Arabidopsis thaliana: one gene and its partners. The protein of the gene in region 1 interacts with the protein of each later gene in a pairwise test. Each region holds a gene or a part of one and is shown in the gene's direction. Other genes may lie near its edges.

Region 1 (5,385 bases):
GCTCTTTCTTTAAGATCTTACATAGCTCGTCTTGTTTAACATTCAAACTAAGACAAGCAGTTCTAGGTGCTGGCAGAGAGCATGAACCAATAAGCTCCATATGACTCAGCAAAATCTTCGTGATAAACTGCGTTTCCATTCTAATAGCAATCAAGAAATCCAACGTCTTCTGAATATTTTTCACGCATTTGTCTGACAACATCTCTGGATTGTCTATAAATAGCCTATAAATCTCATTCACTTGAAGCCCCGCTTTAAACAACCTACCAAACAGAACATAGAATTTCTTTCCGGAGCCTTCGATTACCAAAGCTGGATACGTTTTCAAAAGACTACTCAACTTCTCCTCTTTACATCCCACTTTATCAAGAAACTCTATTGTCTCCAGAATTCTGCGCCAGCTATATGTTTTCCGGTCAGACAAGTACCGCCCAAGCCAATCACATCCTACTTGTAACCCTTTCAACTTATCAACTACAGAAGAAAACTCAGCATCAATCCCACCAACCAGTAGCAAAGGGCAACTAGTAACTAACTTAATAACTGTAGCCTTACTAAGACCCAAATTCTCATAACCCCTTAGCTTCATCGCCAACATCCCAGATTCATATCTAAAAATCTCTCTCGCTTCTTTATACATACGGCCAATCTTACCACGCGGGATCCCATAGTTGCAAAGAGCATGAAAGTTCTCAAACATGATACCATCATCACTCAAAAACATTAGCTTCCGTGGAAGAAACGTTTCAAACTCATAAGGACACAAACCCAAACTCTCGAAAAACGGTTCAAACTCGTTTATCGGATTGTACCTAAGGAACTTAGTCAATCCCTTGGATACATCTTTCTGATTATCATCAATCTTAGACAACAAAGTCGACATAAAACAAGGAGAATTCTTACTTATATGCTCTGCATCAGTAAAAGTAAAGCTTCTAGTATAATGCAAGTAATCAAAAAGAGCTTCTTGAGCTTGATTCCTACTAGCCCTTGATACCGGATTAACGAAAAACCTAGTTGGTAAGTGAGACGAGTGTTGTTGTAACTTAGATTTATCCTGACGAACACAGCTTTCAATCTGAAAACTCCGAAATGGAACTGAAACACGAGAAAGGTCGAACCTTTGAACTGGGTTTTGACGAGGAATAGATGAGAAAGTTATACAGTAGTTGAGATTTGAAATCATATTCAACAGTTTATGAACTCTTCTCTGATTTCTGGATAATAACATCGCAACCTAACAACAAAGAGAAACAGGTGAAAGTCACAATCAAATAGAGAGCTATGAAGAATTCTCAATGCTTACTCTTTCAAGTAAGAAATTTACCTGAAATTAGGGCTTATTAAGCATTTGAATCAACCATTTTCCCAAGATTCTTAGGGTTCATAGCCAAATCTCAGTTACTTTGCTTAAACCTTGTTCTGGCTTCAAATTAAGGTGGAAATTTCAGAGAAGCCCCTAAACGTTTATAATATATCCGAAACGACCATAATCTTATTTTTCTATACTTCAATATGTGCCTAAGAGTTTCCGAAATATCATAAAGGTACCAATTAGTGCATCATCAACACTTGGCCTTAAAAGACTTGACGTGAGATATTATTATTCCTCTTTTGATACCGAATTAATAGACTTGTCAAGTTTAGACTTGTCAAAAGTGATAAACATATCACACGAAATCGTGTTATTATCACGAGCGTTACAAATTCTTCAAGTATATCACTATAAAACGACTTCAAAACCCAACCAAGTGGTGATTTCTTTGAGCTGACTATATGTATGCAAGATAAAGGCAGCAAGAAACGGTGAGTTTTCTTCACGAGCATAAATGGTTTGTTCGTCTTTCTGATTTTTGATTTTATAGATATGTAACTTTTTTATTAGGTCAATTTCAAGTGGTCCATGGTAGATTCAATTCATGTTAGGTCATCATCTTCAAGCTAAAACGCCTACCAAACATATAATAACAAGTATTCTTTTAATCACTAGTTTTAGTTTCAAAATATTTCTGACTATCTTAAGTGCATTTAGATTTTAGTTCAACATGATGGAAAAAGATAACTTGACTCTTGTTTAACTTGCATATGTTTTGTTTGACTATTTGTTATGTTTGAGAGGAATGATTTTTCTTTGTAAAACAGCTTTATATAAAACTTGTGGCTTACTCGGATGAATTTTATATTTGTTTTGATTATTTTTCAAATGTTGTTTTTTTCAAAACCTTTTGACAGTAAATTACAATATAAATTATTTTCAAAGATCTTAATATGTCTTATTTAAGTGAATTTTTAATTATAATTATAAGTAAATTATTAAATATAGATTATAACAATGAAGTTAAATCTTATTCACTATATCTTTAAATATTTTTTTCTCTTATTTTTTTAATATTTTATTCACTATTTGTAACAAAATTATAAAAGCCAAAATTACCAAATTTCTGCAAGAAAAAACAAAAAACAAATCCTTGGCTCCTCCTAAAATCCACCTACCTTACCCTTTTATATATAAGATACAACCAAAAACAAGATGATTTGGTGCTTTCAATATAAAAGATATAATATTTCATAATTAACATATTCTCCCTTAGGTTTTCCTGCACACTCGATTTAAATCGTCTAACAAGGTCAGAATCCATAATTTATACAACCATTTTCTGCTTCCTTTGTTTCCTCCCTAATTACATGTTATTAACTATTAAGCATATCCTTAAAACAAAACCCAAACTGAATTATCTTTGTCAATAGTTGTCTTCTCTCTCGATTATTCTTAAGATAACTACTTTGGTAGTTTTGTTTTTTTAATTACTACTGCACCCTCTTGCGCTTCAAGTTACTTGGTAAAAAACTCTCTTAACTTTGGATAATTTCTCGAAGTCTCTGAAGAAAGAACCCTTTTTTTCTTCTCTCATAATCGTCTCTGTAACGTCCTTCTCCTTCTTCATCTTCTTTGCGTTTCTTCTGCAGCCTTTTGCGGTTCACGTGTTGATTGCTTCTGTCTCTACTTTTTGTCCGTTTTAAAGTTTAAACTTATTGTTACAAAATTGGATTTTCTCTGATCAAACGATAAAAACAGAGTCTTTTAGTATCTTCTTCTTGGGTATAACGAAGATTTTTGTGGTTTCTTCTGATGTAATTCACAAAACCATTTGTATAATCCTTGAAAAGACTTTTTGTTCAGAAATGAAGTTTCTTACTTTGCTCTTTCTTTTCTATATTTCAGTAATGATGATGATAAAGCTTGAGAGAAGTGATTAGTCTGTAGAAGAAGAAGAGTTAAAACCATTCACCAAAGAAGAAATTGAGAACTAGAGACAGTCATGGAGATCAAATCTTACCAAAATCAAGCAGAGTATTTTGTTGAACACTATTTATTAGCAGATCCATTTCTTCCATATACTTCTGTTCTTGTTGGAATCTGTCTTTGCAAATTGGTAAGTTTTGCTTCTCTTCACTTACAATTGCAGAAACTTCACTTTTTTCTGCATTCTGTTTTTAAACAGTGTAGCTTATGTTCTTAGGTATATGATCTTACGGAGTTATTCAGCTCAATTCATGTCAAATCATACTCAGCTCTCACAAAAATAAAGAGAATTGAATGGAACAACAGGTATGTATAGGTTCCTTGTTTCAGCCTTTATATGTTATGCTCTAGTCTCTTATCACTTTGGCTTGACAGGGGAATTTCTACAGTCCATGCGATCTTTATCTCATTCATGGCATTATACTTTGCGTTCTTCTCTGATTTGTTTTCTGACCAAAGAAGCCTTGAAACCCTTACGGTGTTTCGTAACTCGCCTCTGTCTACCTTTGGTTTAGGAGTAAGTTTTGATCTTTCTTCATTTTATCTCACAAGTCCTACTCATGAGCATTGATCAACTTATATGGTACTTTGTTGTGATGTGTTTTTTGCATAGGTATCAGTTGGTTACTTTCTTGCGGATCTTGGAATGATCTTTTGGTTATACCCTTCTTTAGGAGGATCAGAATATGTAAGTTAGACACATGAAAGCTTATGTGGTCTTCAATTACTTGACAATCTTGTGTTTTTTGTTTCAGATATTACATCACTGCTTATCTGGAACAGCAGTAGCGTATTCTTTGTTCTCTGGAGAGGCTCAGCTTTACACATACATGGTTTTAATCTCTGAAGTGACTACACCAGAGATCAATCTTAGATGGTACCTTGACATTGCTGGTTTGAAACGATCTAAAGCTTATCTTGTTAATGGAGTTGCTATATTCTTTGCTTGGTTGGTGAGTTTCTTAAAACCTTTGTTTTTCGTTGTAAATGTCTGAAAACTTGATCTCCTTTTTTATAGCAATGATGTTTTGTTTGCAGACAGCAAGAATTCTTCTGTTCATCTACATGTTTTACCATGTCTACACACATTATGATCAGGTAATCAAGATTTCGGTTTGATTATCTCTAAACCAAACGGTCTAGCCTTTAGGAAAAATAGGAATTACTCTGTTTTTTTTTTTTTTTTGCTGTTGTATTGGTTAGGTTTAGAGATAATGAATTGATGATCAATGGATTTTTCGGCAGGTGATAGAGATGCATACATTCGGTTATCTACTGGTATTTGTTGTACCGATTTCATTGAGTGTCATGAACTTGATCTGGTTTGGTAAGATAGTGAAGGGATTGAAGAAAACTCTTGAGAAAAGACAGTGAAGAAAGAGTTGTGTTTTTTTTTTTATGTAAATATAAAACTCTTATGAAGAATCTTACAAGTTTATAAGCAACAAAGATATGGTTTGTTTCTAACTTTTAGCTTATACACTAATTATGTTCAAAATCTCATTCCCATTATTCCCACAACAGTCCCTATGCATGCTGAATACTTAAATCCATGTACGAAATCAATAGAGGACTTAACCCAAAAAGACTTGGGCCTAAATCTACATTGGGCCAACGATTATATTCGTAGTTTTTTCGTGTCATATTAACTTGCCGTGTAATATTTGTTTACTTGTATTTTTTGTTAGTTCTAGAAAGAAAGCAACATTAATTGAGGAGGAGGAGATTGGTTGTTGTTGACGACGCGTTTCCGCTCACTAATTTTTTTTAACCTTTTTGTGTCTCCGTCGTCTTTTGATCTTCAATCTCAGTTTTGAGCTGAAGATTATCGTATCGACCTGCGATTCTCTTCAGATCGATAATCCATGGCTGCAGCTGGAAACAAGAGCATTAACGCCAAATTGGTCAGTCTTATTAGCTCGATTCTTTTGAGTTCCCTTGTGGTTGGTTTGTCTCTCTCCGATGATCGTAAAATTGATTGAATTTGCAGACCCGTTTTGTTAGATTTTCAGTTTTCTGGATTTGATTCTGTTTCTAATTTGGAGAATTTTGATACGTGATGTTGAATTGGAGAGCTTTGA
Region 2 (4,195 bases), 4.2 Mb from region 1:
CCACAAGCTCATCATATAGTCTCTGAAGCTCTCTCAATGCACTAATCTACAACATTTCAAACACAACCTTAAGCCGCAAGTAACACGAATCACATTTAATCTTATAGCTCAAAAGCTTCAATGAAGTAAAAAAGAGTGGCTATTATTTTTATCATACTTGGCAGATATCACCAGTCATGAGTTCACCATTACTGATTCTTCTCTCATACTCAACAAGAGGACCTGTTCTATTCACATCTGTCATCATTCAACAAATATCAGCAAACCAATAAACACGAACTCTGAGATTGATAGAATTTCTTTGCAAAGAGAAACAAAACCTGAGACGGTGACCCTAGTAGTAGCAGGATCAGCTGCTTCTACTGCTTCTGCTGATAAGCCTCTAAAGATACTTGACCTTGAATACAAACTTGAATTATCAGTGTTTGTATTCAGCAGAGCTTGATTTTGATTGACACCGATCAAAAGTTTGCGGCTTTTGGAGTAGAAAGTTGAAGAATAACGTTCTTGATTGTTCCTTAGAGCCCATCTAATTCTACTGAGAGATGATAACCTAATGATTGGTCTCATCTACGATCAATGCAAATTCAATTCAGCAGCTGAAACTTTGAGATACGGAAACAGAGCAAGAACAATAACCCAAGAAGAAAAACAGAATCTTTGTATGAGAGAAATCGGATCCGGATAAGAATTAGAGCACAAGAGGAAAAAGTGAATGAGAATATTGAAAAGTTAAGTTTGATGTTTATATGTAATGACGATGATAAATCTGGATAAGAGAGATAGAGAGAGACCCAAGAATAAACGGAGATGTAGTCAAATAAGGAAGATAGAGAAGAAGATCTTTAACTGTTAAACTCTTAAAACAGAGAGATAGAGGCGTGATTAATGAGTTATTTATCAACTAAGACACGTTTTTTATTTTTTTATTTTTATATACTTTCAATTTTTTAACCAAAATTGATTGTGTTGTACTTCTAATTACATTTGTTAATGTTGATTGCATAGTTGTTTTCCAGGTCATTAGAGGATTGTATTTGTCCCTTATTTAAGAGAGTTGACTATTTTTATTCCTATGAAAAAAGTAATTTCTTGATATATCTTTACCCTAATGATGTCTACAAGTCAAATTACAAATTTTATAAACAATTTTTAACATTTGTAATTATAGTATAGAATATTGGAAACGGAAGCTTCTCGATGTTGCGTTTGCGTACAGGATACTGGTGGACCTAGCGAATGTGTCCCATACATAGGCTAAGCATATTCCAAGTGGGAGAGAGATACGTGAATCAGACATGGTCCTTAAAGATGATCCAACGGTCTATAATTTTTCTAGTTTTGTTCTCAATGGGTAAGTTGAACAATGGACCTTAATGATGACATGTTGCATTGCGTATGATTCCACGTGTCCACGTCATTTCTTACACTGCAAACATGTCTTTTTCTGACCAACCCCTAACGCTACTTTTCTTTGATACATCTTTGTTTTTGCTATAATGGTGCTTGTTGACAAAATAATACTATGTTGAATTGACCTAAAACCATACTCAGATTGGGATATCCGAGAACCATTGTGTAAGACGTGATGTTTGATCCAAATATGGGCTACACTCAAATATTGGATATAGGCCCACAAGATATGATATCTTCATTTTTTTTTGTCTATAGAACAACATAAAACAGGGAAAAAAATTTACACTACTTTTGTTCTTGTTCCGTTATAAATATCGTTTTACCGATTGATCATAGAAATGGTATACTTTTTAGTTTTTGGAACAGCGGTAAAAGGTTTTATGTTGATGTCTTCTCCGAGCGCCGGTGATTTTCACACAGACCTTGTTATTGGAAAACTGAAATAATGCAGTTTTCTGTTGATAGGCCTTAAGATGTCAGATTTTATGGGCCTTTTAGGTTGTTCTGGCCCATTTAGATAGAACTGTTTCAGTTTTCCAACAACAACTGATAAGGATAGACGAAAGCCCAAATTAAGAATCTTTGTCCTAAACCCAAGGAAAAGCGTAATTACGACACGCAGCCAAACAAAACATTTCCTGCGTGAAAAAAGTATTTGAGAAAAGAGGACGACAAAAAGGTACAGGTGTCAATATATAATTGGATTAAACAAGCTTAGACACCTAAAAGTTTTCTCTCACACCATTTGTGAAGATCCAAAGCAAAAGAAGAATTACAGAAACTGAAAAAACTATCTTCCTCGTCTCTTTGATCATTCTCTTTTAACTCATGGCGAATCAAGGAGCAAAGAAGAGGAAAGATGAGAACGCTCGACACATGGCTAAGCTCCGTCTCATTATGATCCTTTGCAACGTAACTTCCTCGTTCCTCATTTCTTAAATTCTCAATACATTAATCCGTTGAGCTTAGATTTGTTTAGATACGTTACTTGTATCAATATGGAACTAAAAATCCGTTGAATTTGATCTTTAGGTCTCGAAAGTTTCAATGTTTAGCTGATTTTGTTTCGATGAATTCGAGGATTGATGTTTTTGGCAATATGTGTTTGCAGATTTTGTATGTCCTAGTGAGGGTTATAATTTCGCATTCAAGTCATACCTGGAAAAATTGGATTGGTCTTGTGTTAACATCGTTAGGTTACGGGATTCCATATAAGCTTCTTCATCAAATGGCAAAGCCTAGTGTTAGTGATGCTGGTGAACTTCTTGATGGTGGATTTGACATGAGCACTCCTGGAATGTGTGGGTACGTTCGGAAAGATTTGTCTTTTAAATTGATCAACTAGAAAGTGCCTGCTTTTGTCTCAAGTGTTTCTGTATAGTTGGATTCTGTTTCCATAACCAAAAGCAATAGTAGGAGGACTGTTTCATTATCAGTTGTTTGAAATGAGTGATGTTTTACTAGTTGTGGCTTTCTCCGAGTTTTATCGTTTATCAGTTGCTACATAATCGTCATCTTTATGGTGGATTGGATTTATGGTAGATTCTATAGTATAAGCCTGATGCTCTATTCTTCCTTGCAGATATTTGCATGATGTACTCTACATCACCTGCTTTGTGCAGGTCGGATCTATCATCTCTGGAAAGTTTTGGTACGCGTATTTAGTGGTATGATACCCATCTCAATTTTCTTTATTGCCATATTTTAAGGCAAACAACAGATTTGCTCTGTAGGAATGATGCAACCATTTACTTTTGCTTGTTTTTATTTTAGATCCCTGCATTTGGAGCATACAAAGCTTCTGGTCTTATTAAGGGACTATTGTCACATGGTTCAGAGGTAATCACTTTGTCTTGAATACTCTCAAAGTGCTTTGAACAAGGGGGAAATAAAACATGATCATTTAAAATGGACTGTGTTTTGTCTATATGACTGAACTTAGGGAGGTGTTGAGGATGAGAAGACTCGCAAAAAGAGGGAGAAGATGGAGAGAAAAGCTTCTAGAGGACAAGTCGTTAAGACAAGATCTCGATGAATGTCTTAAACATTCATCTTTAGCAAACACAATTAGCAAATCTTTCTTCAAACATACAAAATGCAAATCAATGGGTAAATACTCTTGACTTTGTAATGTACCTGTCTTTACACTATTTTGACTTAATGGATGTGTTAAGATGAAGTAGACTAATAGTCTTGAGTAGGATACAGTGAATTCTCATAAGATAAAAGACTTTTGCTCTTTGGATTATGATGATGTTATGACTTGTGAGCCATTAGACCGACAAATGATCCTGACTTGAAAATTCTGATTCATAGCTAAAGAGCCTTGACTGTAACTATGGAGTAAGTGGGATATGATGGAAAGAGTTGGGAAACCATTTTGTATTTCATTTCTTCAACACAAATCAAGATTAAGATACAGTAATAGCACGGAAGAGCTAATTATATTTGCGAATAACCAAAGAACATGAGACTATAAACATATTCTTAATGAACCCAAGGTACAAAAATTGTTACATACAAAAAAGTTGCCCAGTACTTTCATATATTTGATATTTGGTTGTATACATCACCCGGTGGTTATGGAGAAGAGATTGAATTCACGTTCCAGTGTCCATAGAGACTCATTCTTGTTATTGATACTTAGCGTATACTCCTGGAAATATCCGTTATAAGTGATCACCGATACCGTTGCTCTGAAAAGAACGTGAAAGGTAAAAGATTATCAAAACTTGTCATGTAACCATGGTTTCAAAATGAAGATATCCTAAAATCTTAC
Region 3 (5,403 bases), 2.3 Mb from region 1:
CATTTCCTTTTTTTGTGCTTATAAATACATATTTATTTATTTTATTTATATAATAATTTGAAAACTTAGAAATTACACTAATTTATTAATTCTTTACTTACAAACAATTGGTTTTAGTTTTTAAAATTATCCAAGGCTGATTTCACCTAATTAAAATAACCATGACTAGATTTTAACCCGCGGACAACTTATTTTTTAAATTAGTATATATAAAAGTTTGCAAATTAAATCTATTTATTTTTATTTTATAGTTTACAATTGTTATTAAATAACGTCTTACCAAACCCGTCTCGCCAAATCCGCCCCGTAAAAAAAAACCGCGGTACACCGCTAATTTAAATATATAATTAAAAGAAATATTTTACGGGATTGCAATTGTATTTTGGTTTGTCAAACAAATATTTGTTTAAAATAGTTGCCAAAATCTAGTTCAAATTTTGGAGAAAAAAGATTTATTGGATAGATAAAGAATATATTTAGGTGGGTTTTGCTCATTTTAAGGGATTGCAATTATATTTTTGTTTGTCAAACATTTTTTGTTTTAAATAGTTGCTGAATATATTTGGAATATTTTTAGTTTATTAATCAATTTATTGCTGGAAAAAAATCAATAATTAATACTCAATGGCAGCCTAGTAAATAAGTCCCAACTCTAAGATTTATTTCACAAAATGGCTGCAAAAATGTATATATAGATGATTCATTATTTCATTTTATGCGGTAGGAGTAAAAACAACATTAACTAGCAAAAACTATAATACACACACAACAGTAACTACTCATCGAGTATGGCATTCATGGATACGAATCAAATCTCAAATCGTATAAGCCTGGCCATTATTTTATTTTACAATATTTGATAATGTGCTACCTAAATATCAAAATTTTAGAATATTCTGAAATAAAATGTCGAATTTTTGTGATAGCCTTAAATTACTACATGCTCACGTATGTAAATTTTCTATTCTTTCATAGTTAATTTTCTATTAAAATGTACAATTTCCAGTTTGATGGTATGAAGATCAACAAAGTACCATAAAAATGTATAATTTCTATTTCTTCCTAATTAATATTCTTTAAAGTGTAATTTTCCAGTTCATCCTTGTTAATTTTCTTAAATAATAAAATGTAAAACTTACAAATTTCACGGACTTTATTAACAGAAATGTAAATAATTGTAAATAAATGTAAACATACTGTGTCACAAGAAGACATGACAAAAAATAAAAACAGTAGAAATAAACTTTTTTCTGGGTGCGTGTGGTAAAACAAACATGGGGACTGATCCAATGAAGTTTATCGCAATTTCTGGAATTTCAGTCGGTGTATTAATCATCATCGCACTGATAGTGGCTTATGCCTGCTATCGTGCCCGAAAGGAAGGACCAGTCAGAGGCGACGGACGACTCACACCTATTGTAATGATGATATGATATATCACCTATTTTCGATCTTTTTCTAATAATTTATTTTATGATGCAACTTTTTAGATTACTATATACTATAGAAGAGCATATTGTAATTCTATTTTACCTATATAATAATAAATAATATTTCGGCGATTTTGTCATATGCTGGAGTGTTACATTAGATGATGACTAGTAGGGTTTTTTTTTTTATGTGAAAACAACAATCGTTGTGTCATATAACGCGAAGTGACAAACAAACAATTCGAAATATTAGCAATGTTACAAAATTCGAAATATACGCAATGTTATGGTGGTGTTGACCGAAGGGTAGTTTCGTAACTTTACATCATCGCGTGGTCGTATACGCGCCGATGAGATCACAGACGGCATTAATGGGCTCCGGAAGAAGAAACAAATGATTAATTTAAGGAATAAATTACCACTAAATTCGTTTGATTATTTCCGGAAAACAATTAACTAATAAAACTATAACTAACCTTTGTTTAATTTTTTGATTTCGCGTCTTCACTGTTGTGGATTTCTTCTGAATCTTCTGAGCTCGCTTCACCTACAAGAAGACAACAAGGATCATTTTCTCTAGGTTCGTAGATTCTCTTTCTTCTTCTTCTTCGTTTGGATCTGCTTAGTGAAGAAGATAATCTTCTGAAAAATTGTTTGTTTTTTTTCTGAAAATCTGAATACGTAATGATTTGAGCTGAATCTGAGTTAGATTCACATTTATATTCTGGATTTGTGCTATTTGATGATTTATTAGATCGATCATCTTGTTTTCTTCTTTCGCCTTTAAGTATGTTTGCTCATAGTGTTGCTCTTCCAGATTCCAGATCCTGAAGAAGGTGAAATCTTATCTGTGATCCAGTGGAAGATTGAATCAAGTAACAGATTCACTTAGTTCACTTGCGTATTGCATGCCCCTGAAGATAACATTTTGAATAATGTTGATATTGAATTATCACCTATAAGCTCTGGTTCTTGTTGCTTGTATTGGTTCTGGGTATCTACTAGTGAAGAAACCATGGCTTTTGGTTCTCCTAGGAATAATTCTATATTAGCTGCGGCTGGATTTCCTCGGAAAGTGTCTACAGTTGCAATTGCTATTGGTGGTTTGGCATCATTCTTTGTTTTCGGATTGTTGCTTCGTCTTTCGTATCCGAATAGTTCTTCAGTTGGTGGCATATTTTATGGGATAGGGAATCCTGAACAAGTTCATGTCCCTTTATCTTTGAGCAACCATACTGTCAATATCCTTCAGAAGAGTAGTGACATCAATGCGTTTGATAAAAATCTGACTTCTGATTCTAGCTCTGGCTTACCTGTTGTTGTTAGCAAAAGTATACCACCTCCAGATTTCAGTAGTGATAGGAAGTTGGAGACACCTTTGACACAAGAAAAAGAGGATTTGGTTTCTTCGGATATAACTGAAAAGACTGATGTTCAATCAGGTGAACGTGAAACCAATGTTTCCAAGGCTGAAGACACTCCAAGTGCATCATCTCCTCCAGATGATGTCTCTGAAACTGCTTCAGCAGAACCAGGTACTGTTGTTATCTTTTAAACGCTTATTTCCGTAGCTTTTGTCGTATTTGGAACATTTTGAGTTATGGTAGCTTAAATTTCAATAAACAAAGACTAAGCTAGTGTGGGAATGTTATAGAACATTTAGTTTTGCATTTCTATGGAAAGGCGTAAGTTTCTGAGAAGTTTTAAAGAAATTCAGCGGCTAAACTCTTAGCTATAGACCTACTGTAATTATTCTAGCCGAGGACTGAATATAGCAGATTAGAGTAAAAACTTGGTTAGGGAGCAGATAGTGAGTGCTGGGCTTGTAAGGTGGTCTCAGCATTTTGTTTTAGGGGTTAGAGTTTCTAGGCTTTGTGGGCATTTGGTTGAGAGTTCTACCTGTTTTGGTGAATTGGAATAAGAAGAGCAGTTTCATAGATCTGTTCTTGTCAGTTTCCCTTGCTTCTCATGATTCTAGCTGTTCGATGTTTTATATTTCTGTTATGAGTTTGTCGCTTACTCAAATCTTTGATTGCTTGTAGAGTGTGATTTGTATCAAGGTAGTTGGTTTTATGATCCTGGGGGACCTCTCTACACGAACAACTCTTGCCCTGTCCTGACGCAGATGCAGAATTGCCAGGGAAATGGAAGACCTGACAAGGGATATGAGAACTGGAGATGGAAACCGTCTCAGTGTGAGCTTCCTCGGTTTGATGCCAGAAAATTTCTTGAACTTATGAAAGGCAAGACACTGGCCTTTATAGGAGATTCAGTAGCTCGTAATCAGATGGAGTCCATGTTGTGCCTTCTTTGGCAGGCAAGTAATTCAATTTAATGGTGAAAACCGGTATAAGGGATCTATTGTGTTGCTTTATTCAGCTTCAGGAGATCGTATGTATTATATTAAAGTAGGTTTCTGTTTTCAGGTTGAAACACCAGTCAATCGTGGGAGCCGAAAGATGCAGAGATGGTATTTTAAGCAATCATCAGTAATGATTGCCCGTATTTGGTCATCTTGGCTTGTTCATCAGTTCAACGAAAAATTCGATTATGCTCCTGAAGGTGTCACAAAACTAAAGCTGGATCTTCCTGATGAGCGCATAATGGAAGCTATCCCGAAATTCGACGTGGTTGTCCTCTCATCAGGGCACTGGTTTGCAAAGCAGTCTGTCTACATATTGAAAGAAGAGATCGTGGGAGGCCAATTATGGTGGCCAGACAAATCAAAACCCATGAAAGTCAATAACGTGGATGCATTTGGAATATCAGTTGAAACAATCCTTAAGTCCATGGCTACACACCCGAACTACAGCGGTTTGACCATTGTGAGAACATTCTCACCTGATCATTACGAAGGTGGTGCTTGGAACACAGGTGGATCATGCACGGGGAAAGAAGAACCCATCCTTCCAGGGAAGCTAGTGAAAAACGGATTCACAGAGATAATGCATGAGAAGCAAGCGACAGGATATAACCAAGCCGTCGATAAAGTCGCGGAGAATTTGAAGCTAAAACTAAAGCTGATGGATATCACAGAGGCATTTGGATATCGCCATGATGGTCATCCTGGTCCATTCAGAAGTCCTGACCCTAACAAGATCACTAAACGGGGACCAGACGGACGGCCTCCACCTCAGGACTGCTTGCACTGGTGCATGCCAGGACCAGTCGATACATGGAACGAAATGGTCTTGGAGCTCATAAGGAGAGACAGGAAAAGCTCATCAACTTGACTTGGTTTGAAACTCAAAGGATGAGAGAGCATATTACACGACTTATACTATTAATCTGATTCTTGGTTACTGATAAACTCAAAGATAAACTCACTTGTAGATTTGTGCTAGGCACGGTGAGTTAGGATTAGAATTTGTTCCACTATACTTGTTGGTTCGTTTGTCCTGAGATTGAAATTTAAGATTTGGGAGTTATGAGTTCAAGTTTATTCATACTAGTCGAAATTTCATAAATTATATAAACTGGGGGGGGCGCATTTGCAAAATAGCTGAGTAATAATCGCCTATCTCACTGACTCACCCAAAGCCCGACCAAAAGCTTTTGATTCCTCAAGAGTGAAAATGGCGTCGTACACAGTCTCCTTTATCCCTTTGACGCTCTCTAATCCTCGGATCTTTGTTTCGAGACAGAATGGATCTCCCTCGTCTTCTTCTCGGATTCCTCTAACGTCTTCTCTGTTAGGTAAGAAGCTTCTGGCGACACAACCGTCGCATCGCTGCTTCGTCCCCAAGCTCCGGTGCTTGACCTCGGCCAGCACGGTCTTAAACGTCCCTATTGCGTTAGTTTTTTTATCTGACAGCTCTTTTACATCTTTATCATTTCTGGGTTTTTCCTTTCACCACGGATATTGAAGCTTAGGGTGTTAAGGTTGAATTTTTCAGGCAACCGGAGAATGGTTCTTCGGATAAGATCCCAAAGTGAGTCTCACTCCAAATTACGTATAGAATTTGTAATTGTA
Region 4 (4,509 bases), 7.0 Mb from region 1:
GACCCACGGTAAGTAGGTATTTTATTTATTGTTTATTTTTCCATATTTTCTTCAATAGTCTTTTTCTATTATTATTTATTGTTTATTTTTCCATATTTTCTTCAATAGTCTTTTTCTATTATTATTTATTGTTTATTTTTCCATATTTTCTTCTTTAGTCTTTCTCTATTACTATTTGACGGAACTCTTTGAATGTCTGGTCGTTACAAGCTTAAGTTGTGTCCCCACATGGAAGTTATTCGGTTGGGTCCATCGAAGGAAAATTGATTGAACCGGTCTGGTCATTCTCTCCCAAACTATAGAACCAATTTCGGTCTGCATCGGAGTTTCGAAGTCGCGGACTTATCAGAGTGGGCTTTTTAAGGAATGTTTTTAGAATATTTACCAGCCCAATCCCATTTTAAGTATGTCCAGATCTTAATTTGGCGAGCCTTTTTATATATGGTGAACAACTGATTCTAATGTGTATGTTTCACTTTTATTAGAGAAAAAATGTGAAAAGATTTAATGTGTATGTTTCACTTTTATTAGAGAAAAAATGTGAAAAGATTCTTAAAAGTATTTATTTATGCTAATTGGCAAAACTAAAACATCAATTTATGTACATCATTTTAGTTCTTCCTCTAAGATTTGATTGATTTGTATTAATGGCTCTGAATACTGATACTAGTTTCGTTGGCAAGTAAGATAAGTGATAACTTTGATAAAGAGTGTCAAATTACAAGTGCCACAATTTGGAGTACGTAACCAAATTGACATAAAACTTGAATAGGTGAAAAAACGAGCCAGAAAAAAAACGAATATCTTCTGCTTATCCGAATAAAACGAAAGTAATATTCTTACAAGATCCTTCCTTATGAAGTAGTGCCAGTAGATATTTTTATCATTGTGATTGCGACCTGTTTGTTGCGATTCATTTATGCCAATTCACGTTACTATTTATGTTGTGATAAAATCTTTTATTTTTCTTCTTCTTTCCAAATACTTAAGTATGCATGATTATTGATCCGTACAAGCATAAACGAAGAGCTATAAAGTCTCCAACGGTAAACGTACGTGAACCAAAATAACAATTCAATATTATGGTTCGAATTATTCTGTGTATTTTATGTAAGAAAATAACCAAAACCGACTCGAAACAAAACAAAAAAATCTTCTGAAATGTGAATCTTTATTTCGGAAAATTCTTAACGATAGATAGTTTTTGCTTTAAAATTAAATCCAAACATAAACTAGAACTGAAATTCAATTCGTTGTCAATATTTTCTATACAAAAAAAAAAAAGAAATCCGACCAAATAAACAAAACCATAAATAGACATCTCCATTTTTAGTTGAAAGATGATTAAATGCAATAAATGTGCCACAATCATAAATTTTTCCTTTTCACCTAATTGAAAATTTTAATCATTAATAAGAAGAATCCATGGAGCACAATTATTTTATTTTTTATTTTTTGCTCTCATATGGTATGTTAAATTAATTTTCCCTTAATTTAAATTCCCCATATCAAATAAGTTTTTTTTTTTTTGAGAAAGACTTGATTTCATAGGAGAAATATTTGTTAATATTTTCGACAAAACATTTTCTCTGTTTGATGTATTTCCATCCTCGTACAATAAATACTCTAGCTATTAAATTCTTAGCCCAAACGAAAATAAAGAAAAATAAAAGGGTCCTACTAATAAACAAAACAAAACTAGTGGTCCCAATTTGAAATATATAAAAATATATAAAATTCATAAAGCTTTGTGGCTTCAGAGCTTCCACTTCCATCGTCGTCTTCTATTTTTTCTTCTTTCTTCGATTTCATACCAAAACAAGAACTCTCTGTTTTCGACAAAAACGAAACCTTGAGATCTATTTTGATTGACTTTTAAGAAAGAGAGAGATCTTTCTTAGAAGATTTTGTCTCGTCGGCATTGAAGATCCAGGTAACAAAATCTCACCTTTTCTCTCCTAATTTCACGAAATCGAAGAAAAATTCTCATAATTCTCTTAATTACTTATCTCTCAATTTCTTAAATCTTACAGGGTTTGTCTTTCGAAATTCAGGTAATTTTCTCAAATCCATTTATGGATTGAAGCTTTAGGTAATGAATGAGCTGAATCTGCATATAAAAATCGATACTTTCATTATCCAGAACAAAACAAGATTTAGCATAAACGTTCAAAATTGAAACTTTGATTCCTAACTTCTTGGAATGATTCAGATTGAGCTAGATTTAGATCTGTATGATTGATATTATGGGTTTGGTTTGTTTATGAGTAGAGAGAAAATGGGTGATGAGGCAGAGATCAAGGAACATTTAAAGCCACAAGCTTCATCTGAAACAATGGACAAGAAACATAATGTGAAAGGGAAGAGGTTATGGCAGAAAGTCAAGTATCAATTGGTGGAGTTTCATTCATTGCCTGCTTATTTAAGAGACAATGAGTACATCATTGGTCATTACCGATCCGAATGGCCGATCAAACAGATTCTTCTCAGCATCTTTACCATTCATAATGAGACTTTGAATGTTTGGACGTAAGTGTTGAATCATGTTTCTTGATGTATCCTTGTTTAAAGTTCAAGAGCCTTGAGTGTGTTTGTGTGTGTGTGTTCTTTGGGATTTGCAGGCACTTGATTGGGTTTTTCCTGTTTTTGGCGCTCACTATATACACTGCAACGAAAGTACCGAGTGTCGTGGATCTTCATTCGCTTCAACACCGTTTACCCGATTTGTTGAGGAAAACAGATCTCCACAAACTTCATTCTGAGCTCATGGCTCGCCTTCCTTCTAGTCCATCTAGTTGGCATGTGATGGACCTTCTTTATAACTGTTTGCCTGAAAGATTTTCTCATGGCAACTACACTGACATGTGTGTTCTGGTAAGAAAAGACTCAATCTTTCTCTCTATTCCTGCAGATTACTGTTTCAAAATGTGGCCAAGTTCATATCTTTGTAATTGCATTGCAGCATTCTGTGAGGGAAGATCTTGCAAACTTGATAGCTCCTTTGATCTTCAGGCCAATTACTCGATGGCCGTTTTATGCATTTCTAGGTGGTGCTATGTTCTGTCTATTAGCAAGCAGCACGTGCCACCTCCTCTCATGTCACTCCGAGCGAGTCTCCTACATAATGCTTAGGCTTGATTACGCCGGCATCGCAGCTCTAATAGCGACTTCCTTCTACCCTCCGGTTTATTACTCCTTCATGTGTGATCCTTTCTTCTGCAACCTCTACTTAGGATTCATAACCATCTTAGGAATCGCCACTGTGCTTGTTTCTCTCCTCCCGGTTTTCCAAAGCCCGGAGTTTCGGGTGGTGAGGGCGTCTCTGTTCTTTGGAATGGGATTCTCTGGCTTAGCTCCGATTCTTCACAAGCTGATAATCTTTTGGGACCAACCTGAAGCCCTTCACACGACAGGTTATGAGATTTTGATGGGTTTGCTTTATGGGTTAGGAGCTCTGGTTTATGCAACTAGGATCCCAGAGAGATGGATGCCGGGTAAATTCGATATAGCAGGACATAGCCATCAGTTGTTTCATGTTCTGGTTGTTGCTGGTGCGTTCACGCACTATAGAGCTGGGCTAGTGTATCTTAAGTGGAGAGATATTGAAGGATGTTGAAGATGAAGATTGAAGATTAGATGGAATCTTTGAATCTTGTTTGTAGTAGCTTCATATAAAAGTTGGATTATGTAAAGTCTTATATGTAATCAAACGTTTAATTGTTTCCTTTATTCAACAAAGGATTTATATTGTTAATCCACATATGTATTACTGGTTAAAGAAGCTGAAGGATTCATATTTTTAGATGATTCCAGTCTTGATTGCAGCATTCAAAGTATCATAATCCAGTGTCAACCTCATATAGCCTCCTTGTGAACCTGACACAAGCCTAATTGTTCCATGGCAGAGGATACTTTGATTCTGATCTTCTTCTTGAAGGTTTCCCCTGATTGGTATACATTTCGAATGATCCATAAGTGTTGATAAACTACAAGTACACAAAATATGAAACAAAATCTATGCACATCAATAAAAATTCAGAAATCAATAAAATTTACTCTGAAAATGCAGAACATTTATAAGTGTTTGTTATTGTTTTCAATATATGAGAGGAGGAGCTCCCCTACTATTTTTATATTTTTAGCCAATGAGAGAGCTCCACTTCATACCCCACTTTTACCAATCGTGCTATTTCACAGCCACTCTCACTCATGTCGCGTTGAGCGCGTGTCTACGATTTCTAAAGGGGTTAATCCACAAAAATCATGCATTTTTGGATCCACGCACCTCATTCTCAAAAACCCATCGCGTGTCGTATTTTTTTTGGTTTTCTTCTCTAAACCAAATTAAACCGAACCGAGATCAATTTGAATTTCAAAACCAATGTAAACCCATCGCTGTGAAAACAAAAAGCTCGGCCACTGTAACAACAAAAATGGAGACGACACAACTTGGAAGAGAAATCAACTCGAAATAGCCAAGAGAATGTTCGTAAACCCCCTCAAATCCGA

Evidence for each region.
Region 2: the proteins of AT4G19645 (region 1) and AT4G30500 interact in a protein complementation assay, tested with the Arabidopsis thaliana proteins (one large-scale study listed by BioGRID).
Region 3: the proteins of AT4G19645 (region 1) and TBL18 interact in a protein complementation assay, tested with the Arabidopsis thaliana proteins (one large-scale study listed by BioGRID).
Region 4: the proteins of AT4G19645 (region 1) and HHP4 interact in a protein complementation assay, tested with the Arabidopsis thaliana proteins (one large-scale study listed by BioGRID).

What each region holds. Positions count from the first base shown.
Region 1 is NC_003075.7:10,689,234-10,694,618, reverse strand, and holds AT4G19645 (TRAM, LAG1 and CLN8 (TLC) lipid-sensing domain containing protein), read left to right. Parts: upstream 1-1,787; 5' UTR 1,788-1,806; intron 1,807-2,597; exon of another isoform or gene 2,598-2,627; intron 2,628-2,656; exon of another isoform or gene 2,657-2,858; coding exon of another isoform or gene 2,859-2,945; exon of another isoform or gene 2,946-3,132; intron 3,133-3,223; 5' UTR 3,224-3,320; coding exon 3,321-3,434; intron 3,435-3,521; coding exon 3,522-3,610; intron 3,611-3,679; coding exon 3,680-3,821; intron 3,822-3,917; coding exon 3,918-3,992; intron 3,993-4,059; coding exon 4,060-4,257; intron 4,258-4,342; coding exon 4,343-4,402; intron 4,403-4,549; coding exon 4,550-4,678; 3' UTR 4,679-4,861; downstream 4,862-5,385. Other genes in the region: AT4G19650 (Mitochondrial transcription termination factor family protein), read right to left, coding at 1-1,231; ARA7 (Ras-related small GTP-binding family protein), read left to right, coding at 5,170-5,208.
Region 2 is NC_003075.7:14,901,314-14,905,508, forward strand, and holds AT4G30500 (transmembrane protein (DUF788)), read left to right. Parts: upstream 1-2,037; 5' UTR 2,038-2,244; coding exon 2,245-2,328; intron 2,329-2,527; coding exon 2,528-2,721; intron 2,722-2,998; coding exon 2,999-3,083; intron 3,084-3,189; coding exon 3,190-3,255; intron 3,256-3,358; coding exon 3,359-3,451; 3' UTR 3,452-3,695; downstream 3,696-4,195. Other genes in the region: AT4G30490 (AFG1-like ATPase family protein), read right to left, coding at 1-46, 158-237, 321-570; ATG18B (autophagy 18 B-like protein), read right to left, coding at 3,986-4,112.
Region 3 is NC_003075.7:12,967,742-12,973,144, forward strand, and holds TBL18 (TRICHOME BIREFRINGENCE-LIKE 18), read left to right. Parts: upstream 1-1,817; 5' UTR 1,818-2,010; exon of another isoform or gene 2,011-2,247; 5' UTR 2,248-2,445; coding exon 2,446-2,965; intron 2,966-3,472; coding exon 3,473-3,747; intron 3,748-3,856; coding exon 3,857-4,663; 3' UTR 4,664-4,903; downstream 4,904-5,403. Other genes in the region: AT4G25370 (Double Clp-N motif protein), read left to right, coding at 5,006-5,223, 5,327-5,362. UniProt on the Arabidopsis thaliana protein: May act as a bridging protein that binds pectin and other cell wall polysaccharides. Probably involved in maintaining esterification of pectins. May be involved in the specific O-acetylation of cell wall polymers.
Region 4 is NC_003075.7:17,698,953-17,703,461, forward strand, and holds HHP4 (heptahelical protein 4), read left to right. Parts: upstream 1-1,681; 5' UTR 1,682-1,933; intron 1,934-2,033; exon of another isoform or gene 2,034-2,054; 5' UTR 2,055-2,263; coding exon 2,264-2,529; intron 2,530-2,621; coding exon 2,622-2,874; intron 2,875-2,962; coding exon 2,963-3,616; 3' UTR 3,617-4,000; downstream 4,001-4,509. Other genes in the region: AT4G37682 (hypothetical protein (DUF1399)), read left to right, coding at 4,509-4,509. UniProt on the Arabidopsis thaliana protein: May play a role in abiotic stress response.